2 linked regions of the Arabidopsis thaliana genome follow. The protein of the gene in region 2 purifies or fractionates together with the protein of the main gene of each other region. This does not show direct contact. Each region holds a gene or a part of one and is shown on either strand. Other genes may lie near its edges. The genes, in order: emb2734 and AT2G16960.

Region 1 (8,226 bases), on a different chromosome or scaffold from region 2:
AAATGAGAAATGTAATGGGTGGGTCCAAACATTTTGCAGTGACCATCTCGTGGCCGGCGGCCCGGCGCATCAATTTTTCCAGACAAAACTTAAAAAACATTTTATTGACATGCTTAGCTGCTGTCTGATAAATTTATCATATGACAACGATATAATAAAATTAAATAAAAAAGACATTTCTTTTATTAAGAAAAGGCCAAAGAAGAGTGTCCAAAAGAGTACAAATCAACAAAGGCAATGAGAGAAAAGAATCATTCTTCCAAAATTCCCAATTGCATACAAAAACAAAAATTCAAAATCAAATCTTTCTGTTTTGTTCCTTCTCGTATAAAGCACCAAAACTTCATCCCACTCTCAAACCCAAACCAACACCGACACCAACAGCAGACCTGTGTATTTGGGGAACCATACCCAATGACACATTTCACTAACAATTTCATCCTTCCCTCCTAATATACACTTCCTACCATAAAGATAGAAATTTTCATTTTGTAACTTCTGAAGGATGGACCGACCCATCATCATCCCTCCCAAAAGAATTAGATGAAAAATGCAAAAGAAGAAGAAACACTTTTGTAAACACATAAATGCAAAACTGACGACGCTTTGTGGTGAAAACAGAGCTCACAAAACTGTAAAAATAAACAGAGAGATCGGATTGGATTGAATTTAGGAGGAAAGCATGGATTGGAGAGCGAGCTGCTGTTCGGGTTTCAGCGTTGACCATGTTGAGGCCAACGCCGATGGTGGCAGTGTCTGTTGAAGTTGCCTTAATATATTTATCATACGACCTGCTGTCTCTTGTGTCACCACATCTTTCCCTGTAAGTACCTGGCCAACGATATACACATTGATTTTCTCTATGAGTAAGACAATAATGCAAAAGATCAAAGAATGAAAATTGTCTATGCAAAGCGTAACTAACAAACCTCGGCAAAAACTATTAAGATTTTCGGAAGATGCTGGTTATTGGGGCCTAAAAGGTCTACATCTTGCCTGCAAGTTTATCATCAATCAAAGCTGTTTTAGATAGTCATAAGGAATGAAAACGAAAGTAAAATTAGAATCTAAACGCAATTGCTTACCTTTCAACCATTGAGCAGAGCTGATCATGAACCACTTTGGCTTCAAGGACATCATTGCTTATAGGCAAACAGTTCAACCACGCAGGAAGTACCTAATAAAACCAAAACAAGGTAACTTGTGAATCATCAAAACCAACCACATGTATGGGTACGATGGCGAAACCAAAATAACTATTATAATCTACCTGAGAAGAATCAATACTATCACGGTGAAATTGGCAGATCTTTCCCACGGCTGATACAGCATTATCATATGCCATGGCATTTTCAGATTGCCGAGCATTTGGCAGCTGTATCACAACATTTAATCTTGACAGAGCCTCTGTTGACATAAAATCATGTGTTACTTAACTGTCAAGTATGGATCAAAGCCCAAAAACCTACCAGTGGGCAAAGGTATGTCATACCTCCAATAAGAGGCTTGAATACAGAGCCGCCAAACTCAGCACAAACGCCAAGCCCATAAACAGCAGCCTGTCGAACCTCTGGGCTCTCGTCATTGCAAGCTTCCAGTACAAATGGAAGATAGGTATCATAATATCTGCCAAACAAATATAAGGTGTCTTATCAGAACTCTAAAACTGGAAACCTACAAATGTAAAATGATCCAGTGGATGCGTATCCTTACTTAAAGGCAGCTTCACGGCATTGTTCTGCTACATCATCAAAAATGCATATAGCAATCCTTCTCTCTTCCGCTGTTTTATCTCTTCCCTGAATTCATCGAATACACATAAGGTGAACGAAGACTAATATTGTACCAGAGACATGGTAACAGCCACAGAATTTAGAAACTACATTCACCTGAACCAGAGTGCCATAATTTTCTACACTTTTTCACTAATACTATATCACTTCAGTTATGTACTTATATGTTAGGGAATCTACGAGGTTCTGTCAATAACAAAAACAATTCAAAATAAAAGACTTGGGTGATGATGGCCACATACCCACATAGGAGTTAAGTAAGAGGACAGTTCATCGAAGAAAGGTAGAAATGAGGCCTTGAATGTCTTAACCAATGTTCCCAATATTTCACCGACCTATTTCAAAAACAAAAATTAGAACATTGAAGATAGTATACTTTCAAAGGGTGAATCAGCGAAAACTGACTTGATCAAAAATTTCTTCCTCTTGCTCATTTTCCTCTTTAATAAGCTCTCCCTCTTCAGCGTCAAAGTCTTCAGCATGGGCCCTCTCTCCCCTCTCTCGCTTCCTACTAGAGCTTGCGGTCATAACTTGCTTTATCTCATCAACTATGGATCTAATTTTCCCTTCATCCAAAAGATTTCCAGAGATCTGGAAACAAAGGTTATAAGATAACATTTTCCATTGTAATGCTACAATTTACTCCAAGAGGGCACACAATAAAGACTTGTTCAACGTAACATCTCTATCACATACCCTAACCCTAGGAAAGGATGAAAATCTATGCTCAGAAGGAAAATTGACAAGTGACGAAGCAAAGAAAACAAAAAAGGCCACCATGTCTTCTTTAGAGGATTTCAACAACAAGAAACCAAATAGGTGACCTAATTAAGAAGAAAAAACAGCACGACTACCAAGGAAAATGCAGCATTCAAGAAGCACATAAAAAAGAAGTCCCAACATCTGGTAATGAAAATTTACCTGCAAGCATTCATTGATAGCTTCCAACATACTCACACAGATCTCTGTATCAGGTTCCTACATAAAATACAATCCTCCGCCCCATCAAAAAAAGTGAATCAAAGCCAAAAAGAGAAAAGTAAAAATGAACAGAACACACACTAACTTTATGCAAAGCTTCCAGCATGGCTGGAATAATGTAGTCAGAAAGCTGCTTCAAATATGATAGATCTCGCCCTTGAGATTCCCCTTTCTCTATTGCCAGCTTGGCTGAGCGCATTAGTTCCGGCATGGCTAGAAAGAAAAATTATCCAAATTCTTAGAAACTTGTGTTCTAATGATCAAAACAGTAGATTATAGATGATATATTTTCTGATATACCTGAAACAGCTGCTCTTCTAACTTCTTCGTGAAAATAGAATTTCAGTAAAGGAACCAATGTAGGTGCAACCTACAGTATAAAAATTTACTCTCCCGAACCCAACAACAATACCAGATATTGACACAATTTGGAGTTATTTAACATTACAAACCTGATCAATCCAAGGAAAAAATCCTTCTTTTAACTCATCAGCATAGCAACAAAGCATGTTACAAGCCGTGGCCTTTTCCTCTAGAACACTTGTTTTGATCCCTATTCTTTTGTCGCCCAGGATAATGGTCTCCATGCTGTATCAAGAGAGGGAAATAGCCCAGATTTATGCATGTTATTTATGAACATATCATATCATTATATGGACAGAATCTCAACATCGTTAAATATCTCAAGAAAAAAATGCAGGGCAGCTGCACCCCCAACAACACAGAGAAGAATTAATTTTCTATGCAAAGGCATAGAGATATCATAACAATCAGATAAGTGTCAAGAAGAATGGAAACCTTTCATCATCAGAATCCTCTGCTTCATCTTCTGAATCAGCAGATGTAATTGTTACATCTGGCTTAAGTTGAGCTGACTGAAGCAAAGGAGGCATCACAACCTTCATGTATGGGAGGAAATCTTGACCTAGACACTTGCAAAGCCTAGCCCATGCCTACGAGAGTGTAAGGTAAATGTAAGCAAGCGAACTTACCTCTCTATGTTTATAAATAACAGATAGACCTAGCATGTTGTAGGAAATCACCTGTAACATGTAACTTGTTATTGGATCGTCTGCCTCCATCTGAGAACCTTGCAATGACATTAGCACTTCCATGACCTGGCATGGATATGTGAAATATTTTCATGCGATGATGAATAGAACTACTGGATATAGATAGCATCATGATTTGACCCTCGCATATAAGCATACCTGTCTAGCATCTTCCTTGAATCTGTCCTTTCCAACTGCCATTCCAACAAGACTGATGCACTCCATGGATTTGGCACGAAGCATCCGCTTAGACTTGTCAGTTGCATTCATCAAAATAGTTTTGAGATAAGGCATGACAGTATCATAGTACTTTTGAAAGTGTTCCTACAAATTTAGATTATGTTAGACTTAGATCAAGAGTTGCATGTAGGGAAAACAATAGATGCAACACAACTTCTTTACAAATACCTGTGATGAATCAGCCACTGAAGCAAGAGCAGTTAAAGCTCCTTCTTGCACCATTTGTTTACCATTCTGTACGAAACACCATTATAATCCAAAGTTAATCATTTAAAATCAATAGAGTGCAAAATATTTGCTCTTTTTTAGCTATTTATCTTAAGAAATAATTTACACAATGGACTTACTTGTAGTAGCACAAGTAACTTGCTCACTACTCCGTCTAAATAAGGTGACAATATTTCAGGAGTACAATTTTCACTGAAGTTGAGTACTGCTGAAGCAGCATGAGCCTACATGAAAAGGTCACAAGGTACTGCTTTAGAAAGTGTTAGAAGATTATATTCACAGAGAAACAGGGGATCTTACCTGCACTCGTGGATTCTGGAAATCATCCATAGCAGCAGCAAGTGCGGGGAGCACTCTCTCATGATGTTGGTTTTGCAAATCTGGACCCAAATCTGTAGACAACTGTCCAATCGCATTTATAGCAGCCCACCTTACGCGAGGATGAGGACTTTGAAACTGGCTCAAAACCATTGACACCACTTGGTCTAGATTTTTTATCATCACCTACATCAAAGTTCAAGATATTCACTATCAGATTGAAAACCACAAAGATAAATCAACTCAGAATCAATCATTATTTAACATCCAATTGAAAGTAAAAACAATGAAACAATTAAGGAAAAAGTTCATTAAGACATGTTATTCACTAAAAATTATACCTTTGAACAACCTTCAGCAATCTGAGCAAGTGCAATCAAAGAAGCATGATGTTTCTGCCACTCAGAGGCAGCCAAGTAAGCAGAAAACTGCTGATATGCAACCGGAACAATGGTGTTTCCTCCCAGAGAAATTGCTAACCGATCCAAACACTCTTGACCCATGCTGTAGTTGCTTGTCTCGCCAGCATCTTCATCCTCAGTCTCAGCGCTGTACCAAGCAGGATCGTCCTCAATATCCTCGAGCATCTTCATAAGAACAGCAAACAACCTGTCAATAAACTGAGGAAGCTTCCTGACCATACCAGGGGCACGCTCACGCGCCTCAGCCAGAGTAACCAAAAACTCAATCGCAAGATGACGTGTACTCTCCTCGAGGGAATCAGCCTCTGCAATCTGAAGCATCGAACCAACTATGTCAACAAGTTGCCGTCTAAGGAACCGTGGCTCGGTACCAGCCAATTCAATCAAAAGCTCAAGTGCCTCCTGTGCAGTTGCTTCATTCCCATTGTTCAGAGATTCGGTCAACGTCCTGATCATCGCAGGCAAAACATCTTGGAATCTATCTCTCTCCGTTGAGTTGGCCAGACACTGAACGAAACTAATCACGGCGTTGAGAGCGGCGATTTTAACATCGGAGCTAGCAGAATTACTACTCAAGCACTGAAGAAACACGCCATGGAGTTCCTTGATGTGAGGGGTAAGAGTCTCCCCAACGTACTGCGACAATTGAGCCAAGATTAAAAACGCCGATTCCTGCAATTTAGGGGTAACAGAAGTAACACACTGGAAAACAAACGGAAGCAACTCCGGCCATCCATTCTCCGGTAAAATCCCGGATGCAAGTTCAGAGACTGTATCGCAAATCTTCTTAGAGATCGATTTAGCCTCCTCATGTTGAATACAATACAACATCGAAGATTTGAGGGAAGATTGAGTGGAGAGGGAGAGACGAGGCCATAGATAAGCATCGTCGCGTGTTAACAACTTCCGGAGAAGGACGGCGGCCATAGCACGACCTTCGGGATGAGGAGAAAGCTGAAGAAGATGAGCAAGCTTCAAAGAGAGGGTATCGGGATTGCTTTGTTTAGCGAGATTGAAAAGAGACTCGGCGGAGGAACGTTGCTCGTTGGAAGAAGACATGAGGTGAGAGATTAGCGTCTCGAAGGGCGCGGAATCGGAGCCGAGAACCATCGCGAGTTGCGCTTGCTGAAGCTGATTCGCCTCGGAAGCCATGGGGGATGGTGGCGGCGGGAAAAACTAGGGTTAAAAAGTGGCTAAAGCTAAGAGGAGGAATGAGGAAGGTCCGAAGGTAGCGAAGGAGGGATGAGGTTGTGAAGGGATAATTATATATTTTATTTTTATTTCCATTTATTTTCCAACTATTATGTATTCGTAATTTGGGGTGGTGTGGGGCCGCCGTGGTGTAAATTAAATTAAGGAAAAATAAAAATTAAAGCAAAGCAATGATAATGTCATTAGCTGTATTTTCAAGGGTGGATTGATAAATTGATCACCAATACGTGTTTCCTTTTTTTTTTATAAATTAAAGTTTCTATTATTTCCTAGGTATAACTATTTAAGAATATAAATTTTTGATTATTATCTTATATTATTTTCTTTATTAAAAAAGGTAAATAATAGGTGGCATTAGCTTATATATTTTTCTAATGACAGAATCTCATAATTTCACATACCTAGGGTATATATTAATATATTTATAAATAAGTACGTAAAAGTAAAAAATATACTATAGTTATAAATTATCGTAATATATTTAATACGCGGATTTAATATGAATATATGATTTATTAATATCTAATTTTTATATCAAAAATGTTATTGAATTAATGTATTTGAAACGAGTGAATAACGTATTGGTTAATATTGATTTAAAATTAGCGAATATATATAAACTAGATTTTAACCCGCGGTATACTGCAGAAACAATTTATTTTTTAAAGTTAGTATACATAAAAGTTTGCAAATTGTATATATCTATAAAATATTTTTATTTTATAATTATAATTGTTATTAAGTAACGTCCTGCCAAACCCGTCCCGCCAACCCGTCCCGTAAAAAAACCATTTATTTTATTAATATTGATCTTATTTATGATATGTTTATGAATTATTGTCTAAATATTTTGTAATTTTGTAGTAATTAAATGCTATCAAATATCTCTATGGTTTGATGATATTAAATATTTTGGAAGTTTTATTTTAGTAACTAATGGTGTAGTTAATGTTGAGTGATTTAAGAAAGATTGTTAAATGTCAAATATTTAATTCGAAGTTTTTATTCTAATTATCAAAAACAAACATTAAAATCTAGTGGCAACCATTGTAACTAAGTCCCAACTACACGATTTATTTCACAAAATGGCTGCAAAAATGTATATATAGATATATAATTTTTAAAACTATGTGAATTTTATATTTTTTGAAAAAACTCTTTATTATATACTTTCACACATTACTATTTTGTATTTAATATTAAGTAAAGAAAAAAAAGCATAATCCTATTAGGTCAGATTGGGTTGGCCTTGGGTACAATTACTAAATGGCCACATGCTTGTTTAGTAATGGAAAAGACATAGATGAAAGTGTGTTTCAAGATTTTTCCTTTGAATTTTGTGGAGGATTTGGAAAATAGAGATTGACCTTTGCTTTTATTTAATGATCAGTTTTATGGCATGAGAGTGTTGGAAAAAAAAACACTATATTTGATGGACAAGAATGAAAGTAAACAGAAAGACTGAACTACCTAAGACGTTCTGAACAAATCATGTAAAACTTTAATGGGCTAAGGCTAACATCCCAAGCTTTGGAACATACTACATACTACAACCTACCTAGGTCAACAAAGTATGAAAGTAATCAGAAATGGTCTTCACCTTCACCATCTTTTAGCGTTTTAAAGGATGAAAAGCGAGTTTATGAAATGGAATGGAACAAAAGCATATCTAAAATTAAGAATCATTGTAGGTAGAGGCCGAAACTCCTGCAATGACATAGTGATTCTTAGATGGTACTCGTAATTGGTTAACACCAATTTTGGAAACCGGTGCATTAGTGTTGGTACAAACCTAAACCCCTAATTCCGATTAAACCGTGAGTCGTCGTTCTCTGTTTCCTCCTCTTTTCAAATCCTTCTCCACCGGTCATCTCCTCTTGCAATCACTACGACTCCGTCTGTTTCCCGGACAACCGCAGCTCTCCTCTCATCCTATAAAGTGTTTCAGCTTCTATGTTTAAAATTCACACAGAGAAGCCT
Region 2 (7,118 bases):
TGTGAAGGAAAGGCTTGCGAGATATTAAGTGTAACAATGATTTTACACCGGTTAGTCTCAAATCAGAGAGATGTGATCTAGCTTATTCTCATTGCAAACAATAACTAGATTGACAGAGTACTTTGAGCAAAAGGTGTTTTAGAGGTATTTACATTTTTGAATCCAAAATGTGATTGTTTGGATTTGGATCCATGGTTTATACACAAACCAAATTGGATTAATGAGAAAGAACTCTATTAATCAAGTTGCAGTTTTATTATAAATAATAGATTTCTTTTATCAACAATAAGATTTAATTGTTTTAGTACTGACATACAGATCGTTTCGTAAAAGGTCAAATTAAGTTTTTGATAGAAGAGAATTTTTTGTCTTAAAAGACTTATAAATCTGAATCCAAGCCAAAACAAGTAAATCAGAAAAAAAAAAATTAAATAAATTTGAAAAACTTCTATAGTAAAGTTCCGTTAACAAAATAAAAATAACATATATCGATCTATATGTACTATCGTCAAAATCCTAAGGATGTCATTAAATTGATACTTTACATTTTTGGTTTGTTAAAAAACGATGCATATTTTTTTTCTGGAACATACGAGAAAGCGATGTTTGTTTTAAAATAATTTTGGATGAATCAATTGAGAAGGATCAATTAATATATTCATATCAGTATCACCCCTGAGTTTTCTTAAAATAATGAAAGTTGAAAATTCTATGTAGAATTTAAGGAGTTAAAACAAACATGGAATTTAAGGAGTCAAAACAAACAAATCTCTTGAACTCGTTAATTGCTTAAACACCATGTTGTGTAGCGTGTCTTGTGCCGGCGAGACTCGAGGCTGTGGTTTTTTCTCCAACGTCATCATGTCTTTTGACAATGACCAATCTTCCATTTCCCGGATTGTCCATGGTCGTGTCTCCGATCTACCATCTTCTCGCATATGACATTGCGTCTTACAACCCTTTTGCTCCTTTTATTGTTTTTAATCTTGTTGTATCAAACATTGAGAATAGTATTCTCCCAAACCTTGTACTACATTTGAGTTATTGAATGGAAAAACAAGCTTTTGCCCAAAGAAAAAAAAGACAAACATGGATAAAAGAGAAGCATGAGAAAGAGAGACGCTAGCTTTACACTTTTCACAATTTTAGGATTTTGAATAAACATAAAAGATTTTGAAAATTTAGGGTTCTATAAACAAACATCACAATGTTTTATGTAAGAAAAATGTTGTTTTCTAACAAACCAAAACAATAACATCATAAAATAGAATATCGTTTAAACAATATATGTTTAGGCAAAATTATAGAAAAACTATTTTCTTATCTTGATACATTTTTTATTGATAATTTAACTAAAGGGTTTAAAATGGATTAACCGACATTTGGGAAGTTGTTTTATTAAACTAACTTACTTAAGGGTTTAAAATTTAGTTGGAGGCTTAAAATTAGATAAGTCAATAGTTGAAGGTTTTTTCATGAAAGTCTTTTTATTTTGAGAAAATACTATCATACCCATTAAAATTAATCTATTAATAAACATACCATTTTAATTTTTTTTTTTTGGAAAATATAAATCTTAACAAACTAAACCCTATTTACATTTTATTTTTCTTTCTCTTTAAATTAGTCGCCGCCTCCTCTCTCCCTCGGGATTCTCGCTCTGATTCGCCTGTCACTGTCAGCCGTATCTTTCTCTCTCTTTCATCCTTTTTCTCCTTTCTTTCACCCCCTTTCTCTCCTTTCGTATCAACTGTGGGTAAATATATTTTCCTTTTTCGTTCATTTTCCTCTCAATTTGTAAAATCTTATACAAGTTTGTTTATGTAATAGTGTTTACTCAAATATTTCATGTTATTTTGGTGTTAGCTTTACATTTTTTCAATTTATTAATGCTTAAAGATTGTTTAATTTAACATTAGTAGACCAAAATTGGTTAACTGGCCTTATTTTGTCTATTTCAGTTGATCTCCAGAATTTCATGGCATATAAGGCATATGTCTTAAAAAAGCTCAATGAAGAAGTATCTCTTACATCATGTAAATTTTGGTAAATGATTTTTTTCTGTTGTTCTGTTTTTTTTTTAATCAAATTATTTTCTAGCTTGTAAAATTGCTTAACTATACTATTGTTTGCCAGGCCTGCATATTGTGATGCTCAGCTGGAACCAAAGGACTTAAAGGAGTTATTGCCACGCCTGATTCCAGTAAAATGATACTTCTCTTTTTCTTCTACTATTTTTTGGGCACATTCTAGTAGTTTGACATTTTAATAAAATTTGGTTTGGATTTATTAGATGTTGCTCTCAGATATGGCTTATGAAGATGACGATGAGACACTTTTGAATGAAGAGGTTTATTTTCCTTTGGTATTACATGTTTTGTCATCTTTTTTCAAATTATATAACGTACGAAAGAATTTCATTTATGCAGGAGGTTGAATCTCAACCAGACATCGATCAGGTGTAGTTGTTTGTTCTTGTGACTTCAATTATTCTTACAAATTACTTTTATTCACATTAACTTTTTTTTAATATTCTTATATGATTTGAAATCTCGTTTTCCATTAATAGGGTCATTTGATATATGCACACAAGTTGTATATGATAGTCTGAGTTATACAATATAAATATATTAAGTATATACATCATTTCTTAATGACTATCTCTAGGCACAAAATGATAAGGAGTGGAATTTAAGAGCATGCAGTGCAAAATTTATTGGTATTCTCGCTAATGTATTTGGAGATGAAATTCTTCTAACACTCATGCCTCTTATTGAGGTAAATATTATTTCTCTCGGTCTATGGAACTTAAAACAATTAGCTAAGAACATGTTCTTCCAAGCTGCAGGCAAAACTATCAAAATTCGATGATGAGACTTGGAAAGAGAGGGAAGCTGCAGTGTTTGCTTTTGGAGCCATTGCTGAAGGATGCAATAGTTTTTTTTACCCTCATTTGGCTGAGGAAAGTTTGTTTATGATCTTTTGTCTATTCATTATTCTTTCTACGTGAATTAACTTCATCAATATGCTAGTGCCTTGTTGCAGATTGTAGCAATCCTTCGTCGTCTTTTAGATGATCAATCTCCTCTCGTACGAAGGATAACGTGTTGGACACTTTATCAATTTGGCACATATGTTTTTGAGGTATGATTTGAACATGATATTTTTTTTTATTCAACTTATTAAAACAATCTTTAGATGATTCGATACTTTACTTTTTTTATAGGAAAGTAATTTGGAGAATAGTAAACTCTTTACAAAAGTTCTTCATGGTTTTCGTTTCAAACTTTTGGATTCGAACATCTGGGTCCAGGAAGCTGCATGTTTGGCTTTGACAACTTTTGAAGAGGTAACTATTGTCTTTGCATTGTTGTATATTATGTCATGTGTAAAGAACTTTTATAGTGTTTTTTCCACACAATTGTTTTTATATATATAGTGTTTAGCAATAGCTTATTTATTACCATCATACCTGAAAAACTTGAGAGAAACTGAAAGAACCTCTACTCTTGAAGAAGAATTTGAAAGAACAAAGATGCTTGAAAGATTCTTGGTAAAATTTAGAGAACTTCGGTTTAGGAACACTTATGATTAAAAATGGAAAGGAAGAAACTATTTATAAGATCCAAAAGCGTGTAGCAATAACTAACCAACCGTGTCTTATTCTTTAGAATAGTCTACCATAGTATATGTATATATAGGTACAAAATATACTCTATCATAATATATACGTCGAACCATTTACTGTAATATCTAGATTTTTATTTTGTAATTGTTAATTTTACGTAAATATTTAAATATTTGTCACATATCATTAGTATGCCTTGAAAAAGAATAGAAATTGGACCTATTTAGTCTAATAAGATAATTCCATCATGAAGCCAAAGTTAAGTTTCACTTACCCCAATCAAGTTTTATTTTAATAATATAGATGATTGTTGACATAAAGTGATTTTTTTGTGAACATGTAGGATGCTGGTGACAAATTAGTACCACACCTGGAAAAAATATTACAACAGCTAATGCGCGCTTTTGGAAAGTATCAGGTCGTTAAATCTTCTTGTAGTTGACTACATTGACATATTAAACAATTTTTATTTGTGACTACCTAACACACACACTATTTTTATATATTCAGAAGAGGAACTTAAAAGTTCTTCTTGATGCTATTAGAGCACTAGCAGATTCAGTTGGAATCAATCTGAACAAGGTATAATGATTAGGTTTGTGAAAGGTTAATTTGTTTCTTGTGAATTTAAATTTATATATAGTTCTTAAAATATTTTCTACCTACTTAAAACTCACCCGTTATGCAGCGTGCTTATATTAAGATTTTGATTCCCCCACTGGTTTCAACGTTGGAACAAATTTCCAATTCAGATAAAGATGTAATTCCATTGCTGAAGTGCTTCACATCCATTTCTAAGGTATGTTACTACTTTTCAAGCTCCTTAAGATTTTTCATATATTACACGAATGTAATTAGTTTAAATAATCCTAGTAAGTGAAGGTACTGAGATTTTGGTACTCTGGAAGTCCGATATTGCTACTAATATTGGGAGATATGTGAATATTAGACAAGTTTATCTTAACAAAATATTAAAATGTTTGCAACATGAACTATCAATTTACAACTAGTTTTGTTTCCATGTTTCAGGCTTTAGAAGTAGGATTCGCTCCATTTTCTTGGTATGTTTTCGAGAGGTGCATGGATATCCTTCAACTACAACAGCTAGCTAAGGTTCAATTCAGAATTCATTTCATTAGAAACAAATCTTCATTTTATTAGGGCTTATACATAACTATTTCACGTTTCTGTTTTTCGTTTGATCATAGCTTGCTTGTGTTGTTTTAGGTTGATCATGATTTTGCCGGGGTTCAATACGACCAAAATATCGTCGTTTGTTCTCTTGAATTTTTTTCTGGACTTTCTAAAGGGCTTGTCAGTGGGATAGAGTCTCTGGTACTCCCTTTCTTGATGTCTTGTTCACATGATTTTCTACTCATAAGTTCTTATCACTCAGTGAATAATTCAATATATCAAAGTTGTTTGTATAATACGACCGAGTCAATTGTCACAACTGGATGGATACTCACATCATCGCTCTTATGCAGGTTTCACAAAGTAATCTAAGGGATATGCTTCTTAAGTGTTTCATGGATGAAACTCCAGATGTTAGAGAAAGTGCTTTTGCCCTTATTTGTCATCTTACAAAAGTAAGTTGTATATTCTTTTATCTGCCAAAATCTTTACCTTTAACATAATTGTTAAATAGCATGGAAAGTGAGAGCTACTCGTTATATGTAAGGTAATATTTTTTGGCTACACTAACAGGTACTCCCGGATTATCTAGAACCCCGCCTGCTTGAGTTCCTCGAAATCGCCAGCCAACAACTGGTTGGTATATCCAAATTATAATGCTACTATACATTTTTTTTTCTATTGTGTTTGATTGTATCTCTGCTTTGTACAGAGTGCAAATTTTAGCGGAGAAAACCTTTCTGCTGCGAATAATGCTTGTAAAGCAATAGGAGAATTAGCGGTCAAGGTAAAACCAAAATGATATTTCTCTATTTATTGTTGAAGTTTCTGGTAAAGAACAAACTCGTGAATGATATGAACTCAATGTTTCAGTATCCTCAAGAAGTCTCACCAATTGTGACCAATGTTGTCTATTCATTAGGCATGATTATTCAACTCGGAGAGGTGACTCTAACAGCCTTATAAGTTAAAGATTTTACTTGCCATGTCTAATTATGCCTCATTTTTTTGTTTGTGTGAATAAGACACTAGAGTTGAAGAGTTTAACTACACTAGTTGAATACAATGCAATTGAACTAGCTATGAACAGTGCAATTACCGTTGGGATACTAGCACGGATTCGTCCAGACCTCAGTGCACGATCCATTGAGAACTTCATGAAGCCTTGGTGCATGAGATTGGCAACGTTAGTGAACCTTTTTGTTGGATTTGGATTCTTTACATACTCTTCCAACCTCTGCTCTATAAAACAATTTCTTATCGTACTTTCTTTTCAGGTTAGATGATGACAGTACAAAAGAAAATGCATTTCAAGGGTTATGTGAAATGGTATTTCTCTCTTTACTTTTTGCTTTGTTAATATATAACATTGAATAACGTTTGATATTTTTCAAGTTTCTTCATAAATTAGGTTAAGGTGAATCCATCAAGATATGTCAGCTCCGTTGCTTTCATATGCTTAGCGATCGCAAGCTGGAAAGTAAGTGAACAAAAAAGAAAATCCTAACTCTATTAGACTTTTTTACTGAGCTTTGAACAATTGGTTGATACATAAATAATGAATTTTTATCATAGGATATGGAAAACAAGGTCATCCAAAGCGAATTCTCCAAAGTGCTGATAGGCTATAAAAACGTAAGATTTATTGAGTTTAAGTTCAGTTTTAACCATCCATCCAACGCGCTTGTTTGTGTACAATAGAAATGGTTAATGTCTTTTACTTTATCTTTTTGGGTTCAGATGCTTGGAAAAAACTCATGGGAAGAATGTCTCTCTGTTTTGGATCCTCTTGCTAAGGAAAGGCTTGCTGCGAGGTATCAAGTGTGACATTGATAGTAAATCGATTAGTCTCAAATGAGAGAGATCTCATTGCAAACAATATTCAGTGTTTTTGCAAAAGACGTTTCAGTTGCATTATTTTTATAAACAAAATTTGATTATTTGGATTTGGATCCATGATTTATACACAAACTAAATTGGAACAATGATAACTTTTCCAATCAAGTTGTGTGAAACCTGCTATGAAAAAAATATAAAAAAGAAACCTGCTATGAGCTATTTTCTGTAACAGTATAATACATTTATACTTAGTATTATAAGCAACATGCTTTTGATGATTAATCCATAGATCATCATTTAAATAAAAATCATTTACTTTTCTTTGTTGTTGATAAACTAATTTAAATTCCGTTGTACAAAGAAAATGGCCATACAGCCGCCAGGGTGTTACACTCAGCCTAACTATTTATAATCTTTCACGAATTAATATATGATTTACCACAAAGACCAATCAATATATTAATATTAGCACGTGGATCGGATGGAAACCTAACGAAGACACATTGATACATTTGCA

The links.
Region 1: the proteins of AT2G16960 (region 2) and emb2734 fractionate together in Arabidopsis thaliana (co-fractionation; one large-scale study listed by BioGRID). This does not show direct contact.

The regions. Positions count from the first base shown.
Region 1 is NC_003076.8:6,695,062-6,703,287, forward strand, and holds emb2734 (ARM repeat superfamily protein), read right to left. Parts: upstream 6,295-8,226; 5' UTR 6,187-6,294; coding exon 4,954-6,186; intron 4,799-4,953; coding exon 4,595-4,798; intron 4,519-4,594; coding exon 4,414-4,518; intron 4,301-4,413; coding exon 4,235-4,300; intron 4,151-4,234; coding exon 3,986-4,150; intron 3,893-3,985; coding exon 3,818-3,892; intron 3,728-3,817; coding exon 3,573-3,727; intron 3,363-3,572; coding exon 3,227-3,362; intron 3,145-3,226; coding exon 3,075-3,144; intron 2,988-3,074; coding exon 2,860-2,987; intron 2,772-2,859; coding exon 2,715-2,771; intron 2,385-2,714; coding exon 2,199-2,384; intron 2,129-2,198; coding exon 2,036-2,128; intron 1,800-2,035; coding exon 1,714-1,799; intron 1,627-1,713; coding exon 1,493-1,626; intron 1,408-1,492; coding exon 1,271-1,407; intron 1,178-1,270; coding exon 1,086-1,177; intron 997-1,085; coding exon 930-996; intron 832-929; coding exon 670-831; 3' UTR 113-669; and 1 more.
Region 2 is NC_003071.7:7,362,375-7,369,492, forward strand, and holds AT2G16960 (ARM repeat superfamily protein), read left to right. Parts: upstream 1-2,308; coding exon 2,309-2,350; intron 2,351-2,429; coding exon of another isoform or gene 2,430-2,459; intron 2,460-2,667; coding exon of another isoform or gene 2,668-2,682; coding exon 2,683-2,778; intron 2,779-2,848; coding exon 2,849-2,956; coding exon of another isoform or gene 2,957-2,962; intron 2,963-3,045; coding exon 3,046-3,144; intron 3,145-3,226; coding exon 3,227-3,349; intron 3,350-3,971; coding exon 3,972-4,046; intron 4,047-4,138; coding exon 4,139-4,210; intron 4,211-4,316; coding exon 4,317-4,427; intron 4,428-4,657; coding exon 4,658-4,741; intron 4,742-4,855; coding exon 4,856-4,963; intron 4,964-5,115; coding exon 5,116-5,217; intron 5,218-5,335; coding exon 5,336-5,398; intron 5,399-5,474; coding exon 5,475-5,549; intron 5,550-5,635; coding exon 5,636-5,707; intron 5,708-5,787; coding exon 5,788-5,948; intron 5,949-6,039; coding exon 6,040-6,091; intron 6,092-6,173; coding exon 6,174-6,242; intron 6,243-6,337; coding exon 6,338-6,397; and 3 more.